Alligator mississippiensis: one gene and its partners. The protein of the gene in region 1 interacts with the protein of each later gene in a pairwise test. Links are inferred from orthologs where the notes say so. Each region holds a gene or a part of one and is shown on either strand. Other genes may lie near its edges.

What was found.
Region 2: the proteins of CREB5 (region 1) and FOSL2 interact in binary tests that used the Homo sapiens proteins (3 or more experiments, as listed by UniProt). The two-hybrid records come from large-scale screens. The link is inferred for Alligator mississippiensis from reciprocal best matches to the Homo sapiens genes CREB5 and FOSL2.
Region 3: the proteins of CREB5 (region 1) and FOSL1 interact in binary tests that used the Homo sapiens proteins (3 or more experiments, as listed by UniProt). The two-hybrid records come from large-scale screens. The link is inferred for Alligator mississippiensis from reciprocal best matches to the Homo sapiens genes CREB5 and FOSL1.
Region 4: the proteins of CREB5 (region 1) and SPRY1 interact in binary tests that used the Homo sapiens proteins (3 or more experiments, as listed by UniProt). The two-hybrid records come from large-scale screens. The link is inferred for Alligator mississippiensis from reciprocal best matches to the Homo sapiens genes CREB5 and SPRY1.

Annotation. Positions count from the first base shown.
Region 1 is NC_081828.1:155,044,199-155,051,885, reverse strand, and holds the start of CREB5 (cyclic AMP-responsive element-binding protein 5), read left to right. Parts: upstream 1-4,670; 5' UTR 4,671-6,085; coding exon 6,086-6,088; intron 6,089-7,687. UniProt on the Homo sapiens protein: Binds to the cAMP response element and activates transcription.
Region 2 is NC_081824.1:175,842,933-175,850,297, forward strand, and holds the start of FOSL2 (fos-related antigen 2), read left to right. Parts: upstream 1-4,352; 5' UTR 4,353-4,764; coding exon 4,765-4,863; intron 4,864-6,152; exon of another isoform or gene 6,153-6,409; intron 6,410-7,365.
Region 3 is NC_081838.1:5,393,043-5,400,613, forward strand, and holds the start of FOSL1 (fos-related antigen 1), read left to right. Parts: upstream 1-4,554; coding exon 4,555-4,602; intron 4,603-6,215; coding exon 6,216-6,677; intron 6,678-7,057; coding exon 7,058-7,165; intron 7,166-7,571. Other genes in the region: cathepsin W-like, read right to left, coding at 267-366, 675-814, 1,122-1,235, 1,480-1,552, 1,657-1,749.
Region 4 is NC_081825.1:115,751,820-115,759,319, forward strand, and holds the start of SPRY1 (protein sprouty homolog 1), read left to right. Parts: upstream 1-4,497; 5' UTR 4,498-4,604; coding exon 4,605-4,672; intron 4,673-7,500. UniProt on the Homo sapiens protein: Inhibits fibroblast growth factor (FGF)-induced retinal lens fiber differentiation, probably by inhibiting FGF-mediated phosphorylation of ERK1/2. Inhibits TGFB-induced epithelial-to-mesenchymal transition in lens epithelial cells.

The DNA of each region.
Region 1 (7,687 bases):
ACACAGCATTCCCTGACAAACAGTTCAGTTTTACCCCATCCCACAGCTGTCCTGACATCATGACTTTAAACAACTGTGACATGTTCTTGGGAACTTAAGTGCCTACAATATCTCACCCCAGAAGTAGCTGCAATTGTGAATAAACTGTAATATAATTTTGAAACCTTTCAAATGAAAACTGTTGCTTATGTCTACTCTGTTTTTTCAAGGGCAATACTTGCAAAATGAAAATGCACCCTAAACAGTTTAATTTGCATTAAGCCCATCATTGCTCAGTAACAAAACCTTTCTTTCCATCCACTTTAAATACTGCTTTCCATCCTTTCTTTTCATCTGCTTTAAAAACACTACCAATGAATTGTTGAAACAGTAATTAAGTAATTATATTCTAAACTAAATACTTTATACTTTGGACTTATCTTTCAAATAGAACAGTATTTGGGGTAATGGTGCATGTATATATATGTTAACAAGTGAAATATTTAGTTATTTATTATGGCAGGACACATTTTTGTATTATTCAAGCAGTAAAAATAGGGTGTCAGAAAGGCAAACAGGTTGGCACTCAAAGGCCCTGTACAGAAACAAAGCATTTTCTTTTTGAGTCATCCAAGCCTTAAGTGCTAAAATCCTGCACTAAGATGCTGAGTGATTATTTCTGAGCCACACTAGCAGGTAGGGGCACTTAACTCCAGTCAGGATATAAAAAAGATGAGGGTGTTTCTTTGAGCAAGAGGAAACTGGAAAATGGGTAGAGAGGTGCTATCAAAATGCACAGGCCTAGGGAGGAAACTTAGGCTGAGGGTGATGTTGTATTATTAATAAGCCAAACTCCAGGAAGAGAGAGAGTTAGATACTGAATCCAAGGGCTGTGTACTAAGATAGCATAGGAACACAGCAGGTTCACAATACAATAGTCAATCATCTTACCAGATGATTCGAAAGATACACTGCCAAGCATTGTAAGAATATTCATTATCAGAGTCATTGGAGTGCTGAGTTGCATTAGTCAGGGTGAATAATAGTTTAGGTTCCATCTGAGATGCAGCACAGACTTTAAGTGTAGGTACTCCAGTTCTGCAAACTAGGCATTTGTAGTCTGAGCAGTTCAGTTGGTTTACTTGAATAAAAATTACACACATCCTTAAGTCTTTGCAGGTTTGGGACCAGGGATAGTACTTTTATATTTGGCATGGTGCTGATCAGATTTGTGCTTTAAAACTCATCAACAACAACAAACAAGTATTTAGCAAGTATTTTCTTGAAACAATGGCAGTGGAAATGCAGTCATAGAGACTTGCCTAATGTCACACAGGTTATAGCAGGAGGGGAACCTGATTCCCAGTCCTTCTCCTTCAGCCAGAGAAAGGACCATACACAGAGCCCATGGCAGGCCAGGGGGGTTGTTTGCATGTTATTTATAAAGGAGGGAAGGCGATGAGCTTAAAAAAAAAAACTTATCCTGTCTAGTATCCCTTTAAGTGTGTATGTGTGTGTGAGACAGAGACTGTATTTTTTTCCCGTTGATTATATTTGTGTCTCAGCCCTGTTCAATCTTGTTGACTAGATTTCAGACTGGTTATAAGGAAAAACTTCTTCAAGGTTCACGCGACCAGATTCTGGAATAGACTCCCACGGGGGTGGTGCAGGCACCTACCCCTGGAGATATTCAAAAGGAGACTGGACACACATCTTGCTGGGGTTATTTGACCCCAGCAGTCTTTCCCACCCAGAGCAGGGGGGCTGGACCCAATGATCTCATGAGGTCCCTTCCAGCCCTAAACTTCTGTGAATCTGTGACTATACAGATTCATAGAAAATGAGGGATGGAAGGGGCTTCAGGAGGTCATCTAGTGCAACCCCCTGCCCAAAGCAGGACCATCCCCAACTAGATCATCCCAGCCAAGGCTTTGTCTAGCTGGGTCTTAAAAACCTCGAAGGATGGATTTTTCCTGCCTGGTGCAGGGGGCTGGACCTGACGATCTTCTGAGGTCTCTTCCAGCCCCTTACAATCTATGAACTTCTATTGCTGGAATGAAGAACACTAGGAGTGAAGCTGTGCTGTAAACCCTTTTGTAGGAGAACTCCCCCCCCCCAACTCCCGTGGTATATAAGATAGACCCGAAATCCCCCTAGCGAGTCCTCCACCCCACAGCGGTGGGCTGTCCCGATCTGGAGTTGCAGCTCAGCTGAGCAAAGAGATCGCTATGAAACACGAGGGACTTGCAATGCGCTAGGAAGTTCAGTCCTGGATTCGTCTGGGCCTATCACGCCGCACAGTGTAACCCCCCTGGACTTGAGTGCAGACCCCCACACCCGACCCAAGTCAGGACACAGCCCCGCAATTTCCAATCTCGGCCCCGTGCCTCTTGACACTCTTCCCTGCTTCCTCCCGAAATCCATGAAGCAGGAGATTTTTTCCAAGCTGACTCACACTTCTAATGTCAGTCCTGTCACTTCCAGCGCTGCAAGCTGTTGCTTGTGCTGTTGCTGCCTTTGCACTGTCCGCCGCCCCCCTCATCCACCCCTTGTACCGGAGCTGACTGCCGGGGGGCGGGGCCCGCAGAGAGCCCGCCCCCGGCCCCGCCCCCGCGCCGCTCCCCCAGGAGCAGGGACCGCAATGATTTAGAAGTTCAGGAATCCCACGTGACGTCACGGAGGGTGATGTAATGCTTCTCTAAATAGAACGTATTGTAACCTTCTCTCAGTCCAACGTGGTTCCTTCACCCAGGCTGCTGGTCCCTTCCCTTCTACACTTGTTTGGTAAGTTCCTAAAAATACTGATCTCCCTTTCTGAAACTCCCTTTACATTGCCTTTCAGCCCGCACTTCCTGAGCGCCCCAAAGTACTTGTTTGCCTGGGATTCGCTTTTCCAAGCAGCGTGTGTGTGAATGAACTGGGGGACGGAGGGGGACCAGGCGGTAAAGTGTGTGTGTGTGGGAGGGCAATCTTATTTAATTCTCCTATTAATGGCCATTTCTTGCTATTCCGGCCGGGACTGCTCCGGACACTGGGGCGATCGGCTCTGAGTTTTGTTTTGAATTTCACTTTAATAATAGTTACTAAACCCATTGGAGGTCCCCCACCCCCGCTTCCCTTTCTCGCTCCTTTTCAGCAGGCTGGAGCAGTGAGATGCTTCTGCGAGGATGGCTGTTGTAGGGGTGCGGGGAGGGCTGGGGTTCACCTCCTCCCAGGATAAAGGGGGGACTGTTACGGATCGAGGTGTGCGGTTCGGGTTGGGGTTTGGGGGGCGGCAGAAAAAGTTGTACGTAGAAATGCAGGCAGCAGCTGGCGAGCGAGAGGGGGAGCTGGGAGTCTCCAGCCTCACACGCCGAGCACGAAGTTGGGAAGTTTTTGCAACTCGGCGTGTGTCTTTTTAAAAGCCAGAGCTGGAGACAGTCATTAGTATGCGGCCGGGAGCGTGTGAGTGCGCCCGTGTGTGTGCCCGAGCCCCGCGGAGATGTGACTGCCTTTGCCACAGCCACTCGCGTAGGTGAATGCTGCTCCCAATAAGTTGCAGGTCTCTTGCTTGAGCTTTCTCCGGATCGGGGTTTTTCTTTTCTCCCCCCTCCCCCCCTTCCCCCTTACTAGCACAGAGAACTGGAAAGCTCTCCCCCCCTTGCATTTCTTTCTGGCATCGCATCTTTCTTGCTCTTGCTGCTGAAATGACAGCTCTTTGGCTGGGGATCTGCTCTGCAAGCCCCTCTTTCGCGTTCCTCCTACATGGTCTTGATTTCAAGCGCTGGAACTTGTCTTCAGCGCAGAAAAGTTTTCCAAGAGGCTCCTTCAGTCCACAGCGGCGGGGCTCAGCAGCGCAAAAGTTGCTCTTGCGTGTTTGTAGTGGACCCCCTCCCCCCCCCCCCTTTTTTTTTTCTCCCTCTTTTTTTTTCTTGCGATCCTGCACAACAAACTGATCCGATCTCCACCCCCTCTTCCCTTCCCCGGCTCCAATCCCCACATGGTGTCTATTGTTAAGGACTCGGGCTGGAGTGGGCTGTGTGTATGTTTCGTTGTTAGGTGTCTGCATCGCTATGTTTGGTTGTCTTCCCCCCCTCCCTCTGACATATCTCTGGGAATAAGGCTGGATCCTGGGCCATTACGTCATTCTGCAGACTAGTAAGTGTTTGATTAACAGCCTCAGATACTGTAGGGTTCAGGGGGTTAGAAATGCTGACAAAGCAACTCTCTCTTTTACAACCTCGCTCGCTAAACACATCTCTAACTACGTCCCCTTCCCCAGCTTAATGCCATTTCCTCTACCCCTTCTCTCTTTTTAGGGTCCTTTCTCCCTCCCTGTAGCTAAGTTTCCTAGAATGATGAGAGCTGCTGGAGTGTAAAGAGGGCTAGTTGCTAAACTCTGCCTTCACTTATTATTTATGTCGAGGCATGATGAGTGAGTCTTCATCTCCAGGGTTTAATACGTGCTTTACAATTGGAAAGAGAGAACTGGTTCAAAGTAATCAAGTCCATGAATGTCCATGTGTGTGGGTCTTAACATGGAACATGCTCCTAAGAGCACTCTTGCTTCAAATAGCATGACCAGATGATTTCTGTATCTTCCAGGTGAGAAATAATACACAGATAAATTAATCTCGAGCTTGAACCAAAGGATAATATATACTGAGGAGCACCTTTCTTGGGCTGTCCCTGAGATGGCACAGTTCAAAGACAACTCTGGTAGTGATCTAGTGAATTGCACCAGAGTTTCCTTGTCTGGCCATTTGAACAATGTCCAGTGTGTCAAATAGCTGTAGAGGAAAAACTTTCTTCTAAGAAACTGTCATGCTGAAATAATCCAGAAACCAGACTGTGAAGAAAATTAATGTATAAAAGAATTTAAGAGCTGTAGGGTGAGAACCAAATGAAAAAGAAAGAAAAAAGTATCTTGCAGCCCACTTTGTGGGAATTTTGCTGAAGTGGATGCATAAATACACACTGGTAGCGTATTGCTTTCTTTCGTTCTTTGGTAGAAAAATGTACATTATTAAAAGCCCCCTTTGGTATTTTGTTACTTTCATATTTTGGATAAAGTTATCAGCATTAAGAAGTTAAAAATATTTAGAAAAAATTCTTAAAGTTCTTATTTGTGACTCCTTAATCCTAATGGGAGCTGTGCAGGTCGCAAAGCGCTAGAGAAAAGTGTGATTAATGATCAGTGATTAGTGATAAGTGATTAGTGGTTTTATTCAAACTGTTACCTCTGACCAGAAGCACGCATCAGAGGATTAACAGGCTCTTTAGATAAATGCTCATTAGTGGAAGGGGGAAAGCAAAGATAATAGGCATGCACACAGGGACAACTTTGGAGGAAAATCATTCCTGTCTCTGGAATAATAAGCATTATTAGCAGAAAGGCTCTTTAGTTTAAAAGTTGCTTTTATCTTGTAAATCAAAGTTAGATGTAGACGTTCACTGTGCTATTATAACCTAAATTTTCCCATATCCACTGGATGTGGATTATCCCAGTAGTGATATTTATTTAAACAAACAATTGAATCTTTAAAGAAACTGAACATTCACAAAATCTAAAGCCTTGTATCTTAAGGTATCCACTTCTTACATAGCAAGTGAAGCTTGCTGACAGCTAACTAGATGGCGCAGTACTGTTCTTTGTGAATATATAGTTCTGGATTATGAACTGAGCAAGTAGCTGCTTGCTAGATGTCCTTCAACACTTACAACAAAGTTGATTCTGTGCTAGGTTGCAGGCTAGACAGTCCTACAAGTTTTTAGTCACATTTTCCATGTCAGTTAATCTAGTGAGTTAAAGGCTACTGGAAAATGTACTCTCATTACTAAAAGAAACGGTTACAGAAAGAAAGTGAGAGAACGGCAAATAGTACAACCTGGGATTTAGCTCTTTACTTCGCTGTTCTAGTTATCATAAAACACCAGACCTTGTTTCTATAGAGTTTAGTAAAATAAGATTCTGATGGCCTGAAATACAAAAATATAGAAATACACAGCGAAGCTTTCTACTCTTAGCTGCCACTAGCAAAGGGAGTGTTAAAATTAGATACATTTGAAAGAAAGTTGACGTGATGGTTGAACAAAACAGCTCTGACCTGATTTTATTGAACAGATAATGGTAAGAGGTCTTTTATTTTTTTCTTTTGACTGACTAAGGATCTCTAATTATTCTATTTTTATCATGTTTGGATTGTATAGCATTACTATCTATTGCTGTCCATAATATTTGTCATGTTTCTACTGTCTTGATTACATAAGAATGATCTACAGTTGTTTGAAGATGTCCAGAACACCGTACTTTCAAAACCTAAATGTTTTGTATATACATTTACAGCGGAATAAAACCTTATTGCACTAACAAAACTGAAATTGTCTCCTGTTTTTGTAATTTTAATTGGGATAGTCTTATGAGGAGTCAGATAACATTTTATGGAAAGACGAGATTTCTTTATATTCCTGACTTAAGTTTAGAAGGACAGTAAGCTCTATCTTGAACTACTTAATATTGGATACTCCTATTCTAGAATGTAAACAGATGTACTCCTAAATATCTTACTCCTAAATAACTTACATTAAAAAATAAATTGACTATATTTAGGAGCTGCTCCTAGGCCAAGGAAACCAAATTAATAATGTGAATTGTATTTACTGAAACCCAAATTTGTCTCGTGGGGCCTTAGGAGTGGGATGGGTGGTGGTTAGAAAGTAGATCTCACTGCTTAGTTTAGTCCAGGAGTGAAGGAAGGAAAGAAAAAACAGTCTTTGAGTTGAGAAAGTAAAATGGGAAAGAGTTATGTCCGTAATCTTGGTTACCATTTGTTAGAACTCCGCGCATGAATAATGGGAGCAAGTTCTGGCCCTCTATGTTTAATTTAAATGCTCATTTGGTTAGTTCACTTGAGAAAGGAATCTCAGATATCCTGAAATTGCCTAAAATTGTTCTGTTCACTTCAGAGGGGTCTTTTGGCACTTTTTGTGAGAGTTAGGGTTCATTCCTACGGTGATGGAAAAGAGGCAGTGTTGCATAGCCCTGAGATAACACTTTAGGTCAAATGCTTTTGTTTAACTCAGGCAAAACCCTTTTTGACAAAGGTGAATTCTATGGAAGGATTTGGCCCTTATCTGTTAACCTGTATATTTTTAGCCATTTTAAAAATTTCCTTCTGGGACTTCAGTCAAGTTACATAGATATACGTTCAAGTATTTAGAGAAGTATTGTTGTCATGTTGTACTCCAATTCTAAAATACAGTCTCTTTAATCAAGGACCTTTGCTCACAATTCTCTCTCTTTCCAGCTCTGAGTTCTCTATCCTTCTAGCAAGCAACATGTTGAATTTATTGCAGACTTGTTGGTTAAAAAAACACTCCTCTTATGGATTAGCCCTCTTTAAATGTAAGCTTAAATACACTCAAATTAATTTTGACATAACTTTTTCAATAATGACCCCCCCCCCCCCAAATTCCTCTTTTTAAAATAAATGTTTAGGTGGTGTGGACCATATCACATTTCATATTCCCAAATTTGATCAAATGGGAATTTTCCTGAGGTAAGGCCTACAGAATTTGGCTTTAACAATTTATTTCTCTACATGCATCCTCTGTCTTGGTAGAAAGGCTCACTTTAGTCTCACTAAGAAGAAAAAGCAACAAGTCTTTCAGTTCCACTTCAGTTCTATTTTTGTTTTATCGACTAAATGAATTCGTGTTTAGCTGACTC
Region 2 (7,365 bases), on another chromosome or scaffold:
AGCAACATAGGTGTGCCAGCAGAAGGCTATAGTGTAGGTTTAGCCTCTTCATTATAGGTAATTGCCCTAGAACAGGGTAAATGCTTATCATGGAAAGAGTGTACTATTCTGTACACATTCTGTGGATACACACATAACATTATTATTACAAGTCATGTATACACAACTTCACAGTGTCCATGTTTAATTCTAAATGTAAAGTAAGACCTGGTTTCTGAGGGTTTTGCAGTGTGATTCCAATAAATATGATAGGGAAAACAATGCCTACGTACTAAAGTGCACAAGCAGACAAATTTGTAGGAGGAGGCAGAAGAGTTAAAAACAAGAGGGACCCTAACTATGCATACCCAGCATCACCAGAGCATCACTGGTTTTGTGAGGGGAAGGAAGAAAGGTTTATTATTTCTCAAACAGAGACTTGGAAGAACAAGGGAGAAAACTTGTGACACAAGGAGGAGACTGCTTTCAAATGCACAGAGTAGGGTGAAAGAAACCACAAAATTGAGAGTAGAAGGAAACATGGGCAGCATTCAAAGAAAAAAGGTTTGAGCAGGGTATGCAGCCCAACAGAGCTGAGGAAGGCAAGGAAGGTGAGATACACACACAGAAGCGAACTGTGGAGGACCTGAAAAGAGAATTTGCACTGAGACGGTGGAGCAGCAGCAGCAGTAGGAGATGATTTTAGCAGCAGCAGTATGCTAAAGAGGCTGAAGGAGGGGCTGGGCTGGGAAGCCCTTTGGCCTATCAATTCTGACATCTTTCACTGATGTTTAATGTCACATAATCTTTTTTTCCAGTTTCCACCCATTTACCACTTCCTAGAGGCTTCAATGGCTAGTTGTTTAGAAACCTTTAGGAAAAAAGTTCTTCCATTTCAGAAACCAAAGCACTCAATGTCACATGCAGGAAACTGTGGGATTTAGTCATATCTAAAGATAATAGGGTCACAAGTTTTTCTATATTTACTACTAAAGCTGTGAAGGGAAACGCTGATTTGCAGGTTCCTATTCAGCCCCATGTGCTCTGATGACCTGCACTGGCAGAGACTGACAAATAGTAAGTGGCTGTTGTTCCACCTAGGGGAACATGGTAATTGCTGGCATGCAATAAAGTGTGTTCAAGCAGTGCTGCTAACACACCTTGAGACAGAGGTCTGTAAATAACATACATGCTCCACCTTTCAGATCAAAGTGCTTTGCAAAAATTAATTTAAAAAAATACTCCAGCTCTGGGTGATAGGATTTGTGACATCCCTTTTGCAGATGGGCAACCCAGAGTGTAGAGCAGCGGTTGTCAACCTTTCTAGACCCAAGAAGCACCTCAGAAAATGCCAACTCTTAAATTTTCACTTGGTTTTTGAGTGCAGAAAAATACTTGAGCAATTCTTCTGTGGCAAAGAGCTCAGCAAGCCCACAGCAGAGCAGAATGCTTTTCATGCTACAGATTCCTATTTAAAATCTCTAGGTTTATCTTGGAAATCACGCTTGCATTCCTTACAGTGCTGACATTGCATGGCACCCTCTGGCATCCCATGAAAGGATCTCCAGGCACCTTGGCTGAGAATCACTGTGCAGATCACTGGTTCTCAACCACGTTAGACTCACGGTGCCCCTCCATAACTTTCCTGAACGTAGCAGCACCCTATTTGAAAAACTAATTTCACTCCTTTTTAATGACAGGAAAAAGAAACGCTGTAATAAAGCACCATGTCTGCTGCCAGGAGCTTAGAAGCAGCATTGCAGGGCAGAACAGGCATGATACACTGGATTTCCCAGTGGAAATCTCCAGGTTTATTTGGGTGTTGGTCTAAGGACAAAGGCAAACAAGGTCCTTTGAGTAAATGTGATATATTTTATAGTTGGAAGAATTGTCCGTTGCAAGCTTTTGGGCACAGGTGCCCTTCCTCAGGCATAGGGAGAGTCTGCTGGTGTTTGTCTACTCTCTAGGGTCAAAGGGAACCTTAAGCCAATATGCAAAATGCAGGTCTGTGAAAATGCAAATGCATGGCAGGGGATGCACGCCAGGTTTATCTGGTGAATCCCATGTAAGTGGCCATGTCTACACAAGATGCTGACTGCACAGCTGTTACTGCACAGTCATTTAGTACTTGCATGCCCAAGTACTAAATGCAGTCATTTAGTACTTGCATGCCCAAGTATTAAATGACTGCTCAGTAAGTGGAGCTACTGCTCAGTAGCGTCCCAACACAGCTTCCTGGTGATGCTGACTGTGTAGTAGCTCATTACTACTGCATAGTAGTGTCACATAACGGTTTGTGCCATGTGACACTACTGCACAGTAGTAACGAGCTACTGCGCAGTAAGCGTCTCATGTAGACACAGCCAGTGTGTATACGCTGCGCAGTACTCATCTTGCCTGCTGCGTTTAAGAGGATCTCAGGGAGTGGGGGACCCCTGGTTAAGAGTCATGGCAGTAGGGAACCACAGCAGGGCAGAAGGGGTGTGACACAGAATTCCCATTGAAAATCCTTGGGTTTGTCTGGCAAGCCTCTGCACCCTTCACAGCACTTGTCTCACCTGCCACCCTTAGGAGGATCTCAAAGGAGGGGACACCCCTGGCTGAGAGTCATGGCAGGGGGGAACCACAGCAGGGCAGAACAGGTACGACACACTGGGTTCCTGTGGGAAATCTCTAGGTTTATCTGGTGACCCCCACGTGTTTGCCCACCCCACAGCACCAGTGTCGCCTGACGACTTTCCGAGTGTTGGGGAGGGGAAGGGGGGTGGGGTTGAGAATCAGGGCAGTAGCGGATGGCCGCAGGGCAGAACAGTTGTGACACTGTGGGTTCATAGTAGAAAACTCTGGGTTTGTCTGGCGAATCTGGCATAAGTGTTTGCACCCCTATTGCCTCCGATCCTCCCTGCCATGCATCTGTGTTTTCACAGACCTGCATTTTGCATCTTGGCTTAAGCTTCCATTTCGACCCAGGAGAAAAGGCAAACAGCAGAAGACTCCCTGGACACGTCTACACAAGACGCTTACTGTGTATTGGCTTAGTAACACAGTAGCGTGTCACAGCAAAAATCATGCTAATAGACTACTGCACAGTGTTATTAAGCTAACACTCAGTAAGCATCACTAAATCACCATGTGCTGGTGCTACTGTGCAGTAACTCTAGGTACTGCGCGTTTAGTTGGTGCTTTATTAAGGACATACTAAACTAAATGCACAGTATCTAAGGAGCAGTAGGGCGTGTCTACACATGTATCTTAAATTTACTGTGCAGTATGTTACTGTACAGTAAGCGGGAATAGACCGGTGTCTACATGTGCAGGCATTGAAGTACAATAACTCTCTGTAGGATTAAAGTTAGTCCCAAGTCAGTCCACACACGGAGTATTACTGTGCAGTAAGGTGTCTACACGTGCCTTACTGTGTGGTAACTAATTGAGTGTAAATTTGATACCTGTATGATGCAGGTATCAAATTTACATTCAAGTTGGTGTAAGTCACCATAGCTACTGCACAGTACAGGGTTGCACATGTAGGGTGGCAATTGCAGTTACTGCGCAGTAAATGTGCATGCCAAGATGTGCCCTTAATGAATGTGTAGACGCACCCCGGATGCCCCAAAGCTTGCAAAGAACAATTTCCTCAAGGAAATAAAAATTTCCCCTCTGGTCCAGTAAGAGAGACCACATTTCCCCTGGCCTGCCAGCTCTTCAGGGGGCCTGGAGGAACGGACCCTGGCCGAGAGCACGGCTGGAGGACGCCACACGTGGTTCCTGCGGGGAGCCCACGGGTTTATCTGGTGACTCCCGTGAAGTGGCTGCCCGCTCGGCCACCTTCACAGGGTCGGGGGGGCGGTCTCGGTGGAGTCAGGGCAGGGGGGCGGCAGCGGAGAGACGGAAGGAGCCCGGTCCCTGCACCTCCCCCACGACGCGGCGCTGCCCCTTTAAGCGCCGGTAGCTGAGCCGCGCAGCCAGGGAATCCCTCCTGGAACGCGTCATCCGAACCAAGGAAACCCGCGCTCGCGTAGTCGCACGCACATGCCCATTTTTGGCAACACACGCCAATAGAACGGACCAATCGGAGTGTGGGGGGAGGCACCACACTGAGCAGGCGGGGGCGGTTCCTGCTGCCACCTCCCCCCCTCGGGCGTGGTGCCTCCCGGCTGGGGGCTGCTCCACCCCCCGCGCAGGTGGCGGGGCCGGAGGGTGGTGACGCGCGGCCGCACATGGCGGGGGGGCGCGTGGCGGGGAAGTCGTGCCCGGCCCGGGCGTTGCGTGTGAGTGGGGGGCGGCTCCGCCCCGGCAGCCGTGCGGCCGGTTGAGCGCGGGAGCGGCGGCGGCGGCGGAGTTGTTGGCGGGGCGGGGCGGAGCGGGGGCGCCGGGAGCTAGCGAGCGCCCCGGGCGGAGCGGGGAGGCGCGCGGGCTCGGGGGGTGGGACTGGCCCCCCCTCGCGCCCAGACACTCAAGGACACGGACACAGGCAGAGCCACAGGCACACGCGCGCCCGCAGGTACCGCCGCGCACACGGGGCACGCTCACACGCACTCAACTCAGGTACAGGCACTCACACTCACACACACACTCATAGACACACACACATACTCATACACTCGTAAGCACACACACAGAGGCGCACACTCATACACTCATAGAGGCACACACTCGCACACACCCACCCACACACAGGTACACTCAGGCGCAGACCCCAGGGACGTACGCGCACACTCGCAGGCACAGCCGCGGCCCCCGCCCGGCCCGGGCCGAGCCCTTGGAGCGCCCCGGGCAGCGGACATGTACCAGGACTATCCCGGGAGCTTCGACACGTCCTCGCGGGGCAGCACGGGCTCTCCGGGACACCCCGAGCCTTACTCCGGCGGCGCCGCGCAGCAGGTAGGGGGGCGCCCTCTCCCCGCCCGGCCCCGGCGGGGCAGGGAGCGAAGTCCGGCGCCACACCCAGGCGCGCCGGATCCGGCCTCTCCCTGCTTGGGCCGCAGGAGCAGCCCGGGGACTAGGTGGCTCGCTCCCCCTGGGCTCTGCTGGCCCCTGCTGGAGTGAGCTTGGGCTTGAAGCAGCCGCGCGTGAGTGTGAGGGGCCGGGCTCCGCTCCCGGGGGCTCGGGGAGGGGGCTCCCGCCGCAGTGGCTCTTCTCCCGGGGACTGAAACTGGCCCGCAAGCGGCTGGGCACCGACGTGGCGAGGAATGGGAAGCAGCGGGCCAGTCCCAACACTGCCCGGCTGCCTCTGGCCTGCTTGGGGCAATTCTTCTCTTGCTGCCTGGCCACCGCCGGGGAAGATTTCGGGTGCCAGAAGCTGTCCCGGCTCGTGCTCTCTTCGCTCAACCAGCTTGGTTTTATTTATTTATTTGTTTTATTTCTTTTTGACTCGTGTACCGACGTTTTAGTCCTTGCCCAAAGTGCCGTGCCTGGAAGGGGGCAGACGTGTGGCCAAGTGGAAGGCAGGGCACGCATGTGCGAGCTGGGCTAAGGAAGTAAGGTACTGGGGCCAAACCAGAAGGACTGAGTGAGATATAAAGTTGGAAAGTGAGAGCCCCTGATTGATTGACTTTTTTAGGAGGTGAAGGGACCCCCCGAAGCTGTCAGACCTGTCTGTCCAACCTCACCGGAGACCCAAATGAGTTGATACAAGTGTTTACATTTACCCCCCTCCAAATGCCATGCAACGTCTCCAAACCTTGATGGGAGGCTGGGCATGAGAAATTATTTCTGGTCCTGACCTCCACAGGCAACTTCTCTGAGTAGAGAGGGCAGAGATGGTCCTTCATTTTTTAGCCAAGAGTTGACCACTATAATCACCTCCATGCGGGTTAGGGTGGCTTCAAACCCTTGGAGATAAAGGAGGAGATCTCTGTGGAAAGTGCTGCTTTCAACAGTAGGGTGGGAATTGTCTGAGAGCATGTGCTCCCTTGCTTGAGGAATTTCCCTTGGAAAACAGTAGCCTTTTCTATGTCCTGCTTGGATAATTCAGTTTGTTAATAGCAATCCCTGACCTGATACTTGGCAGAAATTCGGGTACCTAGCTAGCTACAGCAGAGGGCCTCCTGCTCCTCATTTTTATTATGGAAATTCAGAAAGCATGTAAGTGGTTGGGGGGGGGGGGGGGGGGGTTGCAGTTGTAGCTGGGGCTTTTTATACCTCTGGTGAAGAAAATGCCTATGACTTCATGGGATCTTTAGTGGAAAGTTATTTTAAAACCCTGAAAGGAAGAAAGAATGAGTTTTTAAAGCAATCCACCCACCCATAGGTAGAGCAGGGCCACTGATGAAGCAGAGCACAAGTGTTGGCTAATTCTCAGTGAGCTGCAACACACTGGCAGATTTTGCAATTCCTAATAGTATGCTACATTAAGGCAACCTTGCCTCCTTATGCGGTCCCTTTCAGCAGTTTTACAGCTGTCTTTCAAAGCCGAGGAATCTGCCAGGTAATGCCACTAAAAATAACAGCAACAAAAAATATCTGTGAATCTCTTCCTCTCTTGCTTTATTTTTTTTTTCTCTCCTCTACTTTTGTTTCAGTTTGGACCCTTCTTCCTTCTCTCTCTCTCAGGCTGGCTCTTTCCTGAGCTGAACTACATCAGCCTGAGGTTCTTCACATCTGTGTTACTGGGTTAGGTGCTGGGAGACTTGGTTTCCAGATGCTTTAGTGCAGTTGAGTTGAAATGGAAATGGCATCTCTCAAAGTAGTCTTTATTTGATTTATTTTTTTCAAGGCCGCTAAAGAAACTCGGTTCAAAATGCTCTCTTTCCCCCCCCCCCACCTTTTTTTTTTAATAGTGCCTGTCTGAGGATTGTCGGTTGAAGGGTGTTTGTGCCCAAAAGCTTGCAAAGAACAATTTTTGCAACTCTTTAGCTGGTCTAATAAAGGAGATTGCATCTACCCAAAGGGCCGTGTCTGTCTGTGAGGATGGAATGCATTTGTGCTTCAGCCAGAGGTTCAGAGTGCCCAGGGAGTGATAGTTTTGCTTTCTCCTGCTATTTGGACATTCCCCAGCTGGCTGAATGTTGGTTGGTATTTATTGTTGATCAGTTTTCCGGCTCTCTTTGACCATCAGGAATACAAGTTCTTATTTTTCCAAGGCTCATGTGATTTAGTTAACATTTTTGTCTTTTGGTAAGCTGCTGATCTGGAATAATATTGGAAACTGAAGAATGGAGGATATTTCCTGTTGAGGCTACGTGAATACACAAAACTAAAAGGCTGGTGATTTTTTTTTTTTTTTTTTTTTTTTTTAATGGGCCTTTTTCTCTTCAGTTTCCTAGGAAATTACCTCAGAAAGGCTTATTTGCCTGCACAGACTAAATTCATGGCTTCTATGGAAGGCATTACACAATCGGACCAGTTACACAAACCTGGGTTATTTCATAACTTGTTTACATC
Region 3 (7,571 bases), on another chromosome or scaffold:
GAGGACAGCCCCAAGCTACCGGTGCCCCTCACTCCTGATGCACAGCCCTCTTGCTGCCCCTCACTCTGACCTGCAGCCCCCAGCCCTGCCACTGCCCTTCATTCCCAACCTGCAGCCCCTGCCCCCCCAGCCCCAAGGATGCCCCTAACTCTGACCCACAGCCTCTGCCCCCCAGCCCTCCCAGTGCCCCTCACTCCCAACCTGCACCCCCAGCCCTGTTGGTGCACCTCACTCTCAACCCTCAGCCCAAGACCCCCCTCCCCCACCTTGGACGGAGAGCTTGTAGAGCTTCTTGAAGTGGATAAACCAAAGTGACTCCACATTAGCAACAGAAGCAAAGGCCCAGCAGGCACGGCACCTGTCCCCCTGCGGAGCAAATGGAGGGGGTAGATTAAGGGTGGGGGCAGATGAGACCAGGGCTTCCCTGTCCTGCGCTAAGTAGGTATAGATGGGAGACCAGTCGGAAGAGATTGGGGGGTGTGGAGGGCAGGGAGTGAGGGGCAGCAGCAGTGCTGGGGGGGCAGGGGCTGCAGGTCAAGACTAAGAGGCACCAGGGGGAACAGGGGGCTGCGGGTCAGGAGTAAAGGGCACCAGCAAGGCTGGGGGGCAGGGGGCTATATGTGGGGAGTGCGGGGCACCAGCAGGGGCTCATTGGAGGTCCTTCCCCCCCTTACCTGGTCACCTGGGGGTGTCACGGCTCTGGCCTTCCTCCAATCACAGCTGGGAGGCACTGACTTCCGAGGGGGGACCTGCAGGGGGGGCCTGGGGGGTCTGCTGTCCAGAGGGGTCCAAGGCGCCCCCCTGAACTCTTCCTCTGCAGGAGAGATGTAAGCAGGGGCAGGAAGGGGGCTATGGGGGGTAAAGTAGGCAGGGGCGGGGCTATGGGGTCAAGGCGGAGCCTGGGTTGGGGGTCTCTCGAGACCATGGACTTGAAGGGCGGGGGCGGGGTCAGAGCTCTGGGCTTGGTTGTTCTAGGAGGAGCCTTGTGGCTGTAGGCGGGGCCTGGATTGTGGGGGCGGGGCCTGAGGCTTGGGGCGGGGCCAAGCTGGTTGGGGCGTAGCTTGAGGGCGGGGGTTGGGGCTTCATAGGGTGGCAGCCTGCACGTGAGACGCGGGGCTCACCCGTGCGGTCGCTGAAGCGGGTGGGCCCGAAGCGGGCGGCGTCTCCCGCCGCCTCCTGCAGCCGCCGCGCGTCCTCCATGGCCCGGGCGAAGATCCCGAGGCGCCGGCGCCGCTCTGGGGGCGTGGGGGGGTTAGCGACCCCGGGGACCCTCCAGCCCCGGGCCCCCCACGTGGCCCGGGCCCCCGCCTGGGGTCGCCTGCCACGTGGCCCTCGCCCATCCCCCAGCCCACACCTCACCCCCCCCACCTGCCCCTGCCAGATCCACCCCTCATATCAACATGCGCCCTTCACCCCAGGCCTGGCCTCCACCTGCCCCCCCAGCCCAGATCTCCCCCCCCTCCCCGCCACCCCGGGCACCTTCGGGGCTGCCGTAGGTCTTGTTGAAGCGAATCACGAAGTCCTCGAACATCTGGGTCAGCTCCGCCTGCGACTGGGGGACGAGGGGTTAGTGGTGGCGCGCACTGCCGACCCGCAGCCCCTGCCTCCCCCCAGCCCTGCCCGTGCCCTTCACTCCCGGCCCGCAGCCCCCGATACCAGGCGGGGCTCGGCGGTCTCCGGGGGGGCTGTGGCCGACACCCGCAGGCCCAGCAGCAGCAGGACGGTTGCACGCAGCGCGGCGGGGCCCATGGCTGCTCTGTGCCCGCTGCCGGGAGGAAGAAGGCCCCGGGGGGCGGCGCTGGCTCCGGCCCCCAGGAAGGCGCAGGGCTGCGGGCGGAGGTGCGAGATCCGGGGAGGCTGCGATGGGGGGGGGGGTGGCGGGCGGCGGCCTGTGGCGGGGGGGGCTCACTCCCACGGCCTGGTGTTCCTCACTCCCGACCGCAGCCCCCCTCTCAGCCCCCTCCTGATGTTCATTTTCCCGCCCCGGCCGGGTGTGAACTCGTGTGTCTGGGCCCGATCCGGCTCCGCTGCCGCCTGGGCCCTAGCTGCTGCCGGTGCCCGCCCCGTGTGTGCCTGCGGGGCTGCGGGTCGGGAGTGCGGGACACCGACAGGGCAGTGTGTAGCTGTGTGTTGTGTACCGGGCTGTGTCACCCTCCCCTCTCCGGCAGCTGAAGATGCCAGGCCAGCTCTGGGTTGTGTAGTTGTGGGGTGCACTGTCTTGCATAATTGTGTGGCCAGGCAGCGTGTGTCCATTCCACTCCCCGCCAACCCCACTAGCTCGGTTGTGTAGCCGTGCTGTGCGGTTGTGCAGCCGGGAGTTGTTGGCCCTGTAGTGTGGTGCCACTGCGTGGTTCTGCTTTCCCCCATCCAGCCCCTGCTCCGGGCAGGCCTGGCCGGTTGTGGTGTGTTGTGTGGTTGTGTCTATAGCTTATGTAGTCGTGTGGTTGTGGTGAGTTGTTTAGTGTGGTGTGGTTGTGTGTCACCAAGTAACTGTGTGGTGTACTGTGTGCTGTGTAGCAGGGCCGTGCGCTTGGGCAGCCGTCTGTCCTGGTATGTAGTTGTGTAGCGTGGCTGTGGGATTCTGCTGAGCTGTGCAGCCTTGTGGAGTTGGTTAACAGTTTTGCGACCTAGGTCCTGTGATCGTGGTGACTTGTACAGTGTCGTGTAATTGTGTAGCTGCACTGTGCGCCGGGCCATGTGGTTATGGTGAGTTGTGTAGTGTTGTGTAGCTGTGTGGTGAGGTGTGCGGTGTGGTGTACCGGGCTGTGTGGTTGTGGTGAGTTCTGTATTGTGTGTCCAGGCCACCTGATGTGTCCAGGCATCTGTGTGCATGTGGTGAGGCTCTGGTGAGGCGTGTGGTGTTGTGTGACTGCACGTAGCCGTGTTGGCACTCTCTCTCACTCTCTCTCACACACACACACACACCCTCTGCGGGCCCGGGGCCCTGCAAAGACTCCACTCCCCCCCGCAGCACACACGCGGGACCCAGGTGTCCTGAACCCCCGCATATGGACCCCAGAGCCCACCCCCCCACCATCAGAGCAATGGGGGTGGGGGACGGCTGGGGATGCCCTAATGCCCTAGGGGGGCAAGGGGGCCGGGTGCTCCCGGGCCTGCGTCATAACTCCCGGCGCCGACGTCAGAGCCAGGGTGGAGGCAAGAGCGGGCACGCGGGGGCCCCGCCCCCCCCAACAGGTGTGTGTGTCCCGGGCGCCTGGGTTGTCTGCAGCTCTGCAGAGGGAGGAAAGCCTGAAGGGAGCACGGTGGGGAGGAGCCCGGACGCCTGGGCTCCCTCCCGGGGGGGCGGGACCAGGCCCCGGGGCTGCGATGAGTAAAGACGGGAGGAAGGAAGAAGGTGAATCAGCCGATAAGTATCCGGGCGCGTCCCCCACAGGGGTGCTCCGCACTCCCGACCCGCAGCCCCCTGCCTCTCCGCCCCCCTGCCCCCCGCCAGCCTTGATGGTGCCCCGCAGCCCCGGGGTGGGGGTAGAGCAGCGAGGCCGGGAGCCCGGACGCCGGGGTTCTCTGTGCAGAAGGAGAGAAATCAAAAGTACAAGTGCCTGGCCAGAGAAATCAAAAGTACAAGTGCCTGGCCAGGGCAGGACCAGAGGGCGGAAAGAACCCAGGCGTCCGGGCTCCTTGCGGGGCTCACGTCCTGGCACGCGGAGGGGTCAGGATCCCGGGCTCCGAGGCCAGGCCAGGATGTGACACACGGGAGCGAGCTCAGTGACTCACGGGACAGGAATGGGGGGCAGCGCCAGCTGGACCCTAGCCACTCTCCCTCCCCTCGCCCCCAGGGCTGCGGGTCGGGAGTGAGGGGCACCGCTATGAGTGGGGGAGCTGCAGGTCGGGAGTGAGGGGCACCGGCAGGCCTGGGGGGTAGGGGGCTGCGGGTCGTGAGTGCGGGGCACCGCTGTGGGGGTCGCGCCTGGATACTTCTCGGCTGACTCACCTTCCTTCCTCCCGCCTTTACTCATCGCGGCCCCGGGCCTGCCCCCCACCCCCCCTCCCCTCCCAGGCGTGCGGGCTCCCAGCACCCCGTGCGGGGCATGCAGGCACGTGGCACCCAGGGTCGGCGCCCGGGAGACGCGGAGCGAGACACGGACCCCACGAGACGTGGACACGGAGCCCAGGCGCCCAGGACAGAGCCGCGCTCACAATCCCACACAGGGAGCACCGGCATCCGGGACAGGCGCGCGCGCGGGACCCACGTGTGTCGGACCCACGTGTGTTCTCTTTGCCTGTCTCCCTGTTTACCTGGCCGCAGCACGTGGCGGGGGAAACCCGCCCCACCGGAGGAAACCCGACCATATAGGGACATCTACGTCACACGCGGCCACGCCCCGGGCTCCCTGGGCTGGGGCGGGCACACGGCACAGGGCTGGGGTAGAGGTGAGGCCGACAGGTGCGGGCGGGGGGTGGCCTTACTAGGAGTCCCCGAGGCAGGACGGGGGGAATCCCCGCCGAGCGGGGCGGGGCAGGGCAGTGACGTGGCCGCGGAGTTCCCATTCATAAAAAAGGGCGGGCCGCGCGAGTGGCACAGAGCGCAGCGGCATGGACCGGGCCCCGGCGCCGGGATCGGGGCCCCCCGGCCTCCACCAGGTACCGGGGAAAGCGGGGCCGGGAGCCACACGCCTGGGTCCTCTCCAGCTCCTGCAGGGAAGGGGCCTGGGGTGTGAGAGCGGGACACCTGGGTTCCCTCTAGCTCTGGGGCGCGGGCTGAGAGCCGGGACGCCTGGGTCCCCCCCGCTCGGGGACGGTGCCTGGGGATCGAGAGCAAGGGGACTTGAGAAAGCCCAGACTCCTGGGTCCCCTCTAGCTCTGAGGGGAGTGAGCCCAGAGGGTGCTGGGAGCCGGACGCCAGGCTTCCCCCCAGCTCCGAAAGGGGAGCGGGGCCCGCAGGATTCAGAAGAGGGGTCCGCTGGGGACTCTCCCAGGGCTGCAGTACAGGGCTATGGACACAGCGCTGCAGCGCCGGGAGCGGCCGGCAGGGGCCGCGGGAGGACCTGCGAGGATGGGGGGGGACGGGACTCCCGCGTTATCTCCTGAGTCTGCGGCGGGACTGGGGACGGTGATGAGAGCCCGGACGCCTGGGCTCCCGGTGGAGCTGAACCCGGGACCCCGGGCTCCAGCACAGCTCTGGGGGGACTGGGGGCGACCTCGGACGCCCGGGTTCTCTGCCCTGCGTGCCGGGGCGGGCAGGAGCTAGGGGATCCCCCTCGGATCCCCGGACCGGTGGTGCTGAGTCACGGCGCTGAGTCACGGCCCCCCAGGCTTCCTCTTGCCCTGGCAGGGACTCAGGCGTCCGGGTGCCACCCGGCTCCCCAGCCCGAGAGCCCAGGCGCCCGGCCCCCTCCCCGGGCTGCACAGACCCCCGGCGTTCGGGTGCCCCCGTAGCCATCCTAGTCCAGGGAAAGAAGCCGCGTCCGGGCTCCAGCGCCCGCCCCGCGGGCAGGTGAGGGGGCCATGACGCTGCAGTTTCGTGGCCTCCCCGGCAGGAGGCGGGGCCTGAATGCAGGGGGCGGGGCCTGGCCTGGGAAGTGGGTCAGGGCGGGGCCCCGAGTGCCAGGGGCCTGAGTCACGCCGGGTGGGGCAGCGGGGGCAGGCGGGGCACGGGGCAGAACCCGGCCGCCTGGTTCCCTCCAGCTCTGCCAGGGCAGTGGCACTCGCCCCGTGCCCTGCTTCTGGGGAGCAGGGAGGTAAACTGAGGCACAGATGGGGGAAGGGGTCCGGGTGCCCTGCCCCCGCCTTCCCGCTGGGTCGTGGAGCCCCCCTCGCAGCTCCTTACGCCCATCCATGTGTCCTGGACCCTGTACTGCCCTGGAGGCGAGGATTCCCCATGCCTGCTGCTTCCCCCAGGCACCTTGGGATTGGGTATGCAGCCTCCTATCCATGAGTCCCTGTACTGCCTGGGGGGATTCTTCTTTAGCTTCTGGCAGCCCGCAGACATATGTCCTAGCCGCTCTACTGCCCATGGGGATTCCCCTCTGGATTATGCCCACTGGCACCTGGGCAGCATCCTGGACACAGTACTGCCCTGGTGGGGGGGAGTCCCCATGGCTGCTGCTGCTGGCACCTGGGAGCGGGTCTGCAGCCTCCTATCCACGAGTCCTAGTCACTGTACTGCCTAGGGGGATTCTTTTAGTTGTGTGTCGCCCCGCAACCCCGCCACACACAGACCCCCGCGGCTGGCAGCCCGAATCCGTGTGTCCTAGCCCCTTTACTGCCCACGGGGATTTCCCTCTGGGTGCTGTCCCCTGGCACTTGGGGGTGAGACTACAGCCTCCTATCCACGTGTCCTAGTCCCTATACTGCCTGAGGGGGCAGGGATTTTCCTTTGGGTGCTGCTGCTCTCTGGTAGCTGGGGGCGGCCCCGCAGCCCGCATCCATGTGTCCGGGCACCCGTACTACCCGCGAAGGGCGTGATTCTCCAAACGCTGACCCCCGTCTCTCTGCAGAAGTACCCCCCCTGCCAGAGGGGCTCCGGCTTCGTGCCCAGCGTGGACGCAGTGACCTCCAGCCAGGCCCTGCAGTGGCTGGTGCAGCCCCGGCTGCTGCTGCCGCCGCCGCCCGCGGGCGCTCCCTGCGGCCTGCCCGGCCCCTCCCTGCCCCCCTACCCCCGCCCCGGCATCATCCGGGGCCCTGCGCCCGGCCCCCCCTGCCGGCCCAGCCAGCAGGTGAGTCCCGGACGCCTGGGTTCTCTCCAGCTCCGGGAGGGGAAGGGGGGCTGGGAGCCCGGACGCCTGGATTCCCAGTTTCCCCCACTCTGAGGCTGGGGGGTCCCGGGCGAGACATGGGACAGGGCTTGGGGGGTGGAGGGAACCCAGGCGCCCGCCCCGCTTTGCCAGAGGAGTCACCCAGGTTGGCTTGGGGCCAGGACGCCTGGGTTCGCGGCCCGGGGGGGCTCGGGGAGGAAATGACTCGGGGCTGAGTCAGGGGGGGTGAGTCAGGGAGAATGGGGCCCTGGGCCAGGGGGCTTCCCCCCCCCGGCCGCGGCCTGTTCCAGCGGGCCCCGCTGCAGCCCCCCGGCCGCACTCACCCCCGCCCCCCCCCCCAGCTGAACCCCGAGGACGAGGAGCGGCGCCGGCTGCGGCGGGAGAGGAACAAGTTGGCGGCCGCCAAGTGCCGGAACCGGCGCAAGGAGCTCACAGAGTCGCTGCAGCAGGTGAGACCGCCTCCCCCCACTCGAGGGCACGGAGAGAACCCAGGTGTCCGGGCCTGGGGCTGGGGGCGCACCCGGTGTCCGAGGCTGTGCTGGGCACGGCACCCGGGCGTCCGGGATTGGGTGGGGGTGGGGGGAAATCAGGTGTCCTGGGATGTTGAGGGGGGGCATCTAACCCACGTGGCCAGAAGGGCCGGAGCCCGGGGCAGAGGAAACCCAGCAGGGGGCACCGCGAGCGTGGCGGTGCACCCCGTACAAAAAGACAGCGCCGGCGGCGTCTGCGGGAGCTTCCACTTACCGCCGCCGCCGGGGGCACGGGGCGAGTCTGGGGGGAGAAGCCAGGCGGGAGAACCGAGATGGGCAGGGGCGTCCCAGGGATTTGGATAGGACTAGGGGCGTGGACACGGGA
Region 4 (7,500 bases), on another chromosome or scaffold:
TCTAACATTTTCTTCAGACTGGAGAAGACATGTTTCAACTCTCTGCTTTCCATTTAAAAGAGTAAGACCAACTGGTTACCTCAGACTCATTCCACTCTCATTCTTTTATCCTATGCAATTTTGTAAAAAGCAACTTTTGTTGATATGTAAGGCATCTTAGTAACCGGTTACACTTTTACTACAAAAGGGTGTTTTATTTTCCTGAGGAATGAATAGTAATCAAGAATCAGTTGGTAGTGCCAAGTGCCTTGATAACACAATTGCCTGCATACAGCTTTGTTAGGCCCCTTCCTGCACTTCCCAGAGAAAATTAAAAGAAGATGTAGCTGATGGAGTTTTCCTTTTTCCAAGTTTAACTCATATGGGGCAAAATTTTCAACTCCCTGTCTTGTAGGTAATGGGAAGGGAAGAATTCAAATGAAAAAGAGGAATTGATTTAAAAAAAACTAGGGCAAGGGGGAGCAGGGGAGAACAGTAGAAAAACAAACAGGAATCAGGATTACTCTCATATTAAACACTTACTGATTTAGACATAAAAGGGGAGGGTTAAAGATAGGAGACCCAAGTTGGAAGAGTTCTTGATACCCCCAAAAATGGTCAGTATCTTGCTACCTGCTGGCATTGGAGGCAGGGTACATCAGTGCCTTAGAACAGTTTGATGCTGGTGTACCTGCACTGATATCAATGAATAACAGGGTTTTTACTGCCATAAACTAGTGATGAAGTGGTCAACTGGGCCCTAACTGAGAAACTGTCATATTTTGTCTTTCCAAAGTGGAATTCTGTTTCTTTCATATTAACCCTATCGCGGCTGGATTACCAGGCAAGTATAAAATGACATACAATACATTTTATATTCTCTGTTCTTTCTGGTTTGGGGAGCTAAATTGCACAAGCTGATACAGGCTTCTCAACAAATCTTGGACTGTTTCCCCAGCAGCAAAAAAAATCCATGATCACAATCTTTCCATTGCAGGTGCCTGCACACTCCCTAAAATGGACTGTTGCTTGCTAAAAAAGGGTTGTGGTCAGGGCAGCTTAGGATGCATTTGATTGTGTACATGCTCATTGCTGCACCTGGTAATTACACTTATGTGGATAGCCCCAGTGAATTCTGAGCCTGCCTTAGCATAACTTTGGAAGGAAAGGAAACAGTGGAAACACTGCCTGAATTTCCTTGGGGATGAATCTCTCAGAGGATGTTGTAAGTTCAAAGGAATTTTAATGAATTTTTTTCACAGAACATTTCCCTGACAACAAAATGCTCATTTGACAAGAAAATGATTTTTATTTTTTTAAGTATAGTTTGTTCTTCAAATTGTCAGTAGTTTGTTCATCATGGTGAAGGGAAAAATACTGTGTTTTCTCGGAACGTCTGAAAGCATTAAGGTGAATAACAATAGTGCATTGTTTTGGATATTTCCATGATCTGTAACTTAAGAGTTTTGTTCAAAAAAAAGGTTCACACTTGCAAATAGGGTCATGCACCTTAGCCCTTTCTCCATGTCAAAAATGGGGCCCTTTGATTTGGATTGCCTAGAGTCTGTTCCTAACTCTACTCATAATGTGGCTTTGGGCAAGGTGTGTAACTGTCCTGTGCCTCAGTGTGCCAATTTGTAAAACAGGGTTAATACTTTCCTTGCTTGTAAGATTTAAGCAGATAGGGTAGAATTTCAGAGACCTGAAGGAATTGATCATCCAATTGTTGAACTGGTGCTTAATCTCACTAGGTGCCCCTGAAGCCCCAAATCTTAATTTTATTGTGAAATGGCTTTGGACCCTTAAATGAAAGTGCTACCTAAGCATGAAGAATGATCTACATTTAAAACTATAGAACAATTCAGCATAAATGGCTCTCTTTGATTAAGAAAACTCCAGGACTGTAGAATGTTGGTTATTTTAAATCATTTTGGAGGTCTTTTGCGAAAGTTTCTCATGGGGAAAAGCTTGTACGGTACTACTTCATGCTCTTTATAGTTCTTACTTTCAAGATCATTAAGTGCCAAAGGAACTTATGCTCATAAATCTTGTAGGCATTTTTTTTAATCATCTGATTTTACACACTTTTTTTTAGAGGACTCTTAAAAATGGTTGGAGACTAAAACAAAAAAAGCCCCTCTCTTGTTATATACTGTAGCACCTCTCCCTGTGGCATCTTAGCATCATCCAAAATACAAGTGCATAAAAACTCAGATAAAAGTGTTTTTTGTCACATTTGTTTCTCTAGGACAGAGGCCTGACTCTGTATGCAGGATTTTTATTGGAAATGTGTTTTTTGATGCGTAAGAAGCATGAATGCCATGTGCCCCCAGAGGCTGGGGCGCACAGCGAGCTCCCACAGGTGGCGGTAAGCGAGGAGCTCCTGCAGGCAGCCACACAACTGGGGGCGGGGGGTGAGCACCAACCAGTGGTCAGCAATCACACGCAGACCACCAGTGGTGTCAGTGGCGGGGGGGCGGGGGGGGTGATGAGTGGTGACTACCCGCAGGTGCCACCAACAGTGTTGGTGGCACCTTTTTGCAGGGGGTGCACCACCACACTCAGGGGGTGCACGTGCACTTGCTATGCATCACCAATGGTAAGAGGAGTTTGGAGAAGGTTTTGCTTTATACCTTAAAATGCATGATACCTGTCAATAGGAGGCTCAGTCTGATCTTTCCTGGTCCTACTGTTGAGAACAGTCTCTTTCTAATGCCTGTTTCTCTGCATCATCCCTGTGTAGTTTGCTCATCTGGAGGAATCATAGGGTGAGTACTACTGTTTACTGCATCTGATTTATGTTCATGCCACTTGTTTTAAACTGCCTATATGTAGACTGGGAGTGGCGCATGCAGGCATTCGCTGCTTCTGGGAACAGCACAGGGCAATGGGTATAAGTAATTTGGAGTGGGGGAGAGAGATGGGGGGGTATCAAGGGGAAGGTTGGCAGGATTGGGGAGGCTGTAGGGTGGGTTGCTTGGTGGGGGAGCTAAAATAACTCAGTTAAGGTCAGGCACTTGGATTGAACTAGCCTTGGTTTAGGTTGATTTAAATTTGCCACCTGTATGTGCCCACAGAACATAAGGCAGCACCTGAAGTCACTAGGTCCAGGTCTAGTAAATACCCTGCAGATCAGGATGACCAGATTTCTGAACTCTGCTCAGAGTTTGAAGCATGAGTATGATGCACCAGGTTGGCTTTTGGAATGAAACACAGTTTATGAACTGCCTTAACTTCAGGCTTTTTGTAGCAATTGTACTCAGCCCCTTTAGAAATGCAATGCAATAATTCAGTCTGGAGATGAAAGTCTGGCTCATTGCAGCTGAGTTCTCATCTGAGAGGAGTGAGTAAAGTCTCTTAATAAGGCTGAGGCCAAATGTGTTTTCTTACCACTATAAGAAAAGTACGTGTTCAGGTGCAGCAAGGCATTTCCATCATAACAATCTGCTATTGGTCACAGGTGGGGCCCTTGACAAGTTCCTCAAAGGGTTTTCCACTTTATGTGAACATCATTTCTGTCTGCCTTGACTTGCTTTAGACAGCTTTTTTCAACCACCTGATTTTTTTGTGTGTGTTCAGATATATCCACATATAAAGAAAATAATTGAAATTAGGGTTCCTGTTGGCACTGTAAGCTACTGGAAACATTTTCTAACATAATTACTCATGATTTTAAAATCATTGGATAAAAACAAAATAGCCACGTATGGGCATGTTTCCTTCCCTTCCAGATGAGATTTCTCTGAAAGAATAAGATGACATCAGTTTCTTCTAAGCTATTTTGCTTTCTCTACAGAATTGCCATATCCTGCTACACGGTAGGAACAGGTTTGAGAGTTGGGCAATCTGGGCTGCTTCTGGACTATTAGTGACTCTTATCTCCTTGATAAAGTTACTTTACCTCTCAGAGACTCAGTTTTCCCCTAGCTTTATATGGTAACTCAAGATCTCTTGTTGAAAAGCAGAGTAAAAATGTAGAGCCTTGATGTCGTTACCATGTTTGCTAGAGAAAATATATAGAACTATGTTTTCATTTTGGGTTAGCACATCCAGATACTTTTTACCACCTCATTTATAGTGCACCTGAAAGGAAATCAATGGTCATTATGTTTTGTAGAGGCTTGATTTAAATATGTTGACATCCTTGTCCTATAGTGTGCTAGGTATGAGAACACAGTGCTTCAAGCAATATCGTTTTGTCTTTAATCTCTTAAAAATGTAATTTGTCATTGAGTTGTTTGGGCAGGAGAGTTACTTAGGAAGGTGGCTGGAGGTTAGGTTAGAAGGAATAAACAAGTAGTGTAATAAACTCTATGCATATAAAAGGAACACAGACTTACCTTGTTATATAATCTCTGCTAAACTTGCTCTGGGAAATTCTCCAAGGGCCAATGTCAGTCTCAATTTTGTACAAGTCTGTACATAACCTTTATAAGAATTTGTATAAAGTTGGGTGGGGAAACACTGAGAAAGAACTGGAGCAAAATTTAGTTTGACTAGAGACTAGCTATGAGGGAACATTAAGAAAATAGTAATACAGAGGCTTGTACCTTGTCAGGTCAGTCAAGAAAATAACTCTCTTATGTTGGCAATATGTCGCACCTCATTCCCAGGCTGTAGACTTCATGGTACAGTGTCACATCACTTCTGGAATCAAGTGGTCATTTGAAAGACTTCCAGATGCATTAATTTGGTAAGTAGTTTTCTTAAGATATTGCAATATGAACCTCCCCCCCACCGGTTTCTCTCTCCTGATTACTGTAGTGATTTACTGTTGCAAAATTGCTCAAGCTGTGTTTATGGCTCTGTAATTCACAGGTACAGTACCTATCAATTTATGTTTGCTCAGTTGCTTACAGTTATGGCTATTTGTGTTATTGCTGCTAACATAGAACCTAGCGTGTGACGTACCACAATGCTACTTTTATAGCGTCTGTTTCTGCCCCCCTTTTTTTACATGCGATACATACATACATACATGCATCCTCTCAGCTTCGAGACTATATTAGGCAAAATAATTTAAGTGTGGTATTTAGACAGCTGATGGGAAGGCACTGAACATACAAGAAATATTCACTCTTCATCTGTAAAATATGAAAGACTCTCTTAAAATATTCCTGCCTAAGTCAAATAAGCTGCATCAGATATTAATGGTATGGATTGTTCTGCTTTTGCGCACATTTTATAGATACTGAATTGTTTAAAATAAATATACTTAAATTGAAAATTTATGATCAAAGCTTGAAGTACTTAGACAGGCACAACTCTGATTTGTACACTGGGAGATCTGTGATCTTGGAGGTTTCAGGATTTGACCCACATGCTTTATCAGATTTTGATCCCTCACTCACTGAAGATATACCCCTGAGGCATCATGGAGGCCTCATTAATGAAAACAAACTCTGGTTCTCCTTTTAAGCAGTAACACAGGGCATGATGCAACTCTCATGGAGGTCAGTTGCCATTGATTGAGTTAAGGGCAGGATCTGACTGATCGTAACATATTTAATGTGAACTAGATACAAAGGCCCACAAGGTATCAAGGTTTGTTTCATCCGATTTGTTTCCTTCAGGAGTTATTTCTTATCAAATAATTGCAATCTGGAATTTTAACTTTGAAATTCATCATGTATATCAATAAGCCCATCTGGTCAGGACTTGACTGTTAATGAGACCTGCTGCCGTTTCTGCCCTGTATAGTGTGTAGGAGTTTCCAGTAGTGTCAATGGGCTTTGACCCAGAGCCTAAAGAGACATGATCCAAAAAGGTTGCTCTAGAGCAGTGGTTATCATCCTTTTTAGACTTGAGACACCCCATGTAAAATGTCAGCTCAGTTTTTGGATTTTTTTTTAACTTCAGAACAATAATAAAGTAGGTTTTCTGTTGCAAAGAACTCAAAACGAGCACAGCTATGAATTTCTATTTGAAATCTCTGGTTTTATCTTGTGAATCATGTTTGCAGCCCTAACTATGCTAACATTATGTGGCATCCAGAGGCTGCCCTTGAAAAGATCTCAAAGCACCCCAAAGTGTTTTGGCACCCTGGCTGAGAATCACTGCTCTGAAGCCTGCACTTTTACCTCCCTTTGAAACCTCTCAGCTAGAGAATGAAAGTCCAGTTCTGCTTATACTTTTCCTAGGTACCTGTATTTTAATGTCTGCCTTTTCTCATTTTGATTTTCATTTGAAATCTAATATTCTATTGGTGTAGTAGATAAGATGGTTTTGAGCTATAGAGTACCATAAAGTGGGTCCTTAGTTTCTTATTAAGATTTTAAGCCTAAACATGTTATGATTCAGTGCACCAACATACCTACATCCCTGTAAATTAATTACTCAACAGTGACCTGATTTTGGAGCAGTAGTAGCGGATGGCTCAATGGAAAAACAAAAAAATCTTCTAATGTTACAATGATGATATATCATTAGCCCTGAAATTGTGATAGGTACCAATTAGCTTGTGTATTGTGACCATGTAATTTACTTAAAAACATCTGTTTCTTAGATTATCTACTTTAGAAACTATGGGCACTTACACACGTGTAGAGAGCAGACTTGGCTGAGCTGGCAATTGCATCAGAGCACACTCAATTGAGCAGACTCAATTAATCAAGTCTGCTGGAGCCCAGAAATTGATGCGCTCTGGCAGCCTTCTGCGTCACGTGTATCAGTGGTGCAACACGTCTCCATGCTGAGAAAATGGCAGTGGTACTCCAAAATAAAATGTGTTTGATGTGCTTTAATTCAAAGCACCCTGCTGCCATTTTCTCAGTGCAGGGACATGCTGTACAGCTGATACATGTGTCATGCAGGGGCTTTTAATTAGCACAGCTCGCTAATTAAAGTGCCCAGCTCTGCGTACCACAGCACATGTAAAAATCCCCATCACCCTGCAAACATCCCAGTTATCAATTACAATAAACATAATAGTTGGACTTGAATGTGCATATTAGTAATGTGTCCTTATCCTTAAATTTGATTTCCAGTCTGAGATCCCTTCCTAAAATTTGTTTGGAACAGCTTTCATCTACGTTGCCTTGTGTTTTTGGAGGGCACTTTTGAGTGCTGCCACTGCTATGTTATCTAATTCAACAATGCAAAATAATGCACTTTTCTGAGTGCTCACTAAAGATTCTTATTTTTTTTTTAATTATTTTGTCCTGGGGGAGATTTCAACAATGTTTATAATCTATCCTGGTTTCTAGTTTGATTTGTATCAAAGATTCTTGCCAGTCTGGTCAGGGCACAGGTAATTTCCCTGTGAAATAGTGGAAGCCTTTGAGTGTTCTCTAATAATTTAGCTCCTATGAACCGGTGACACTATTACAGCCTTTTGTCATTATCCAAAAAATGTCTTAACTTTCTCTGTCTTTCATGTGTGTCAATTTACTTCCACCTCCTCTTTGTTCACACTTCATGACCTTCTCCTAGACCTTGCAAACTTAGTTCTTTCACGCAATTTTATATTGCTTACCTACATCTTTAAATAATATTCTGTTGACACTTTCCAAACCGTTCATC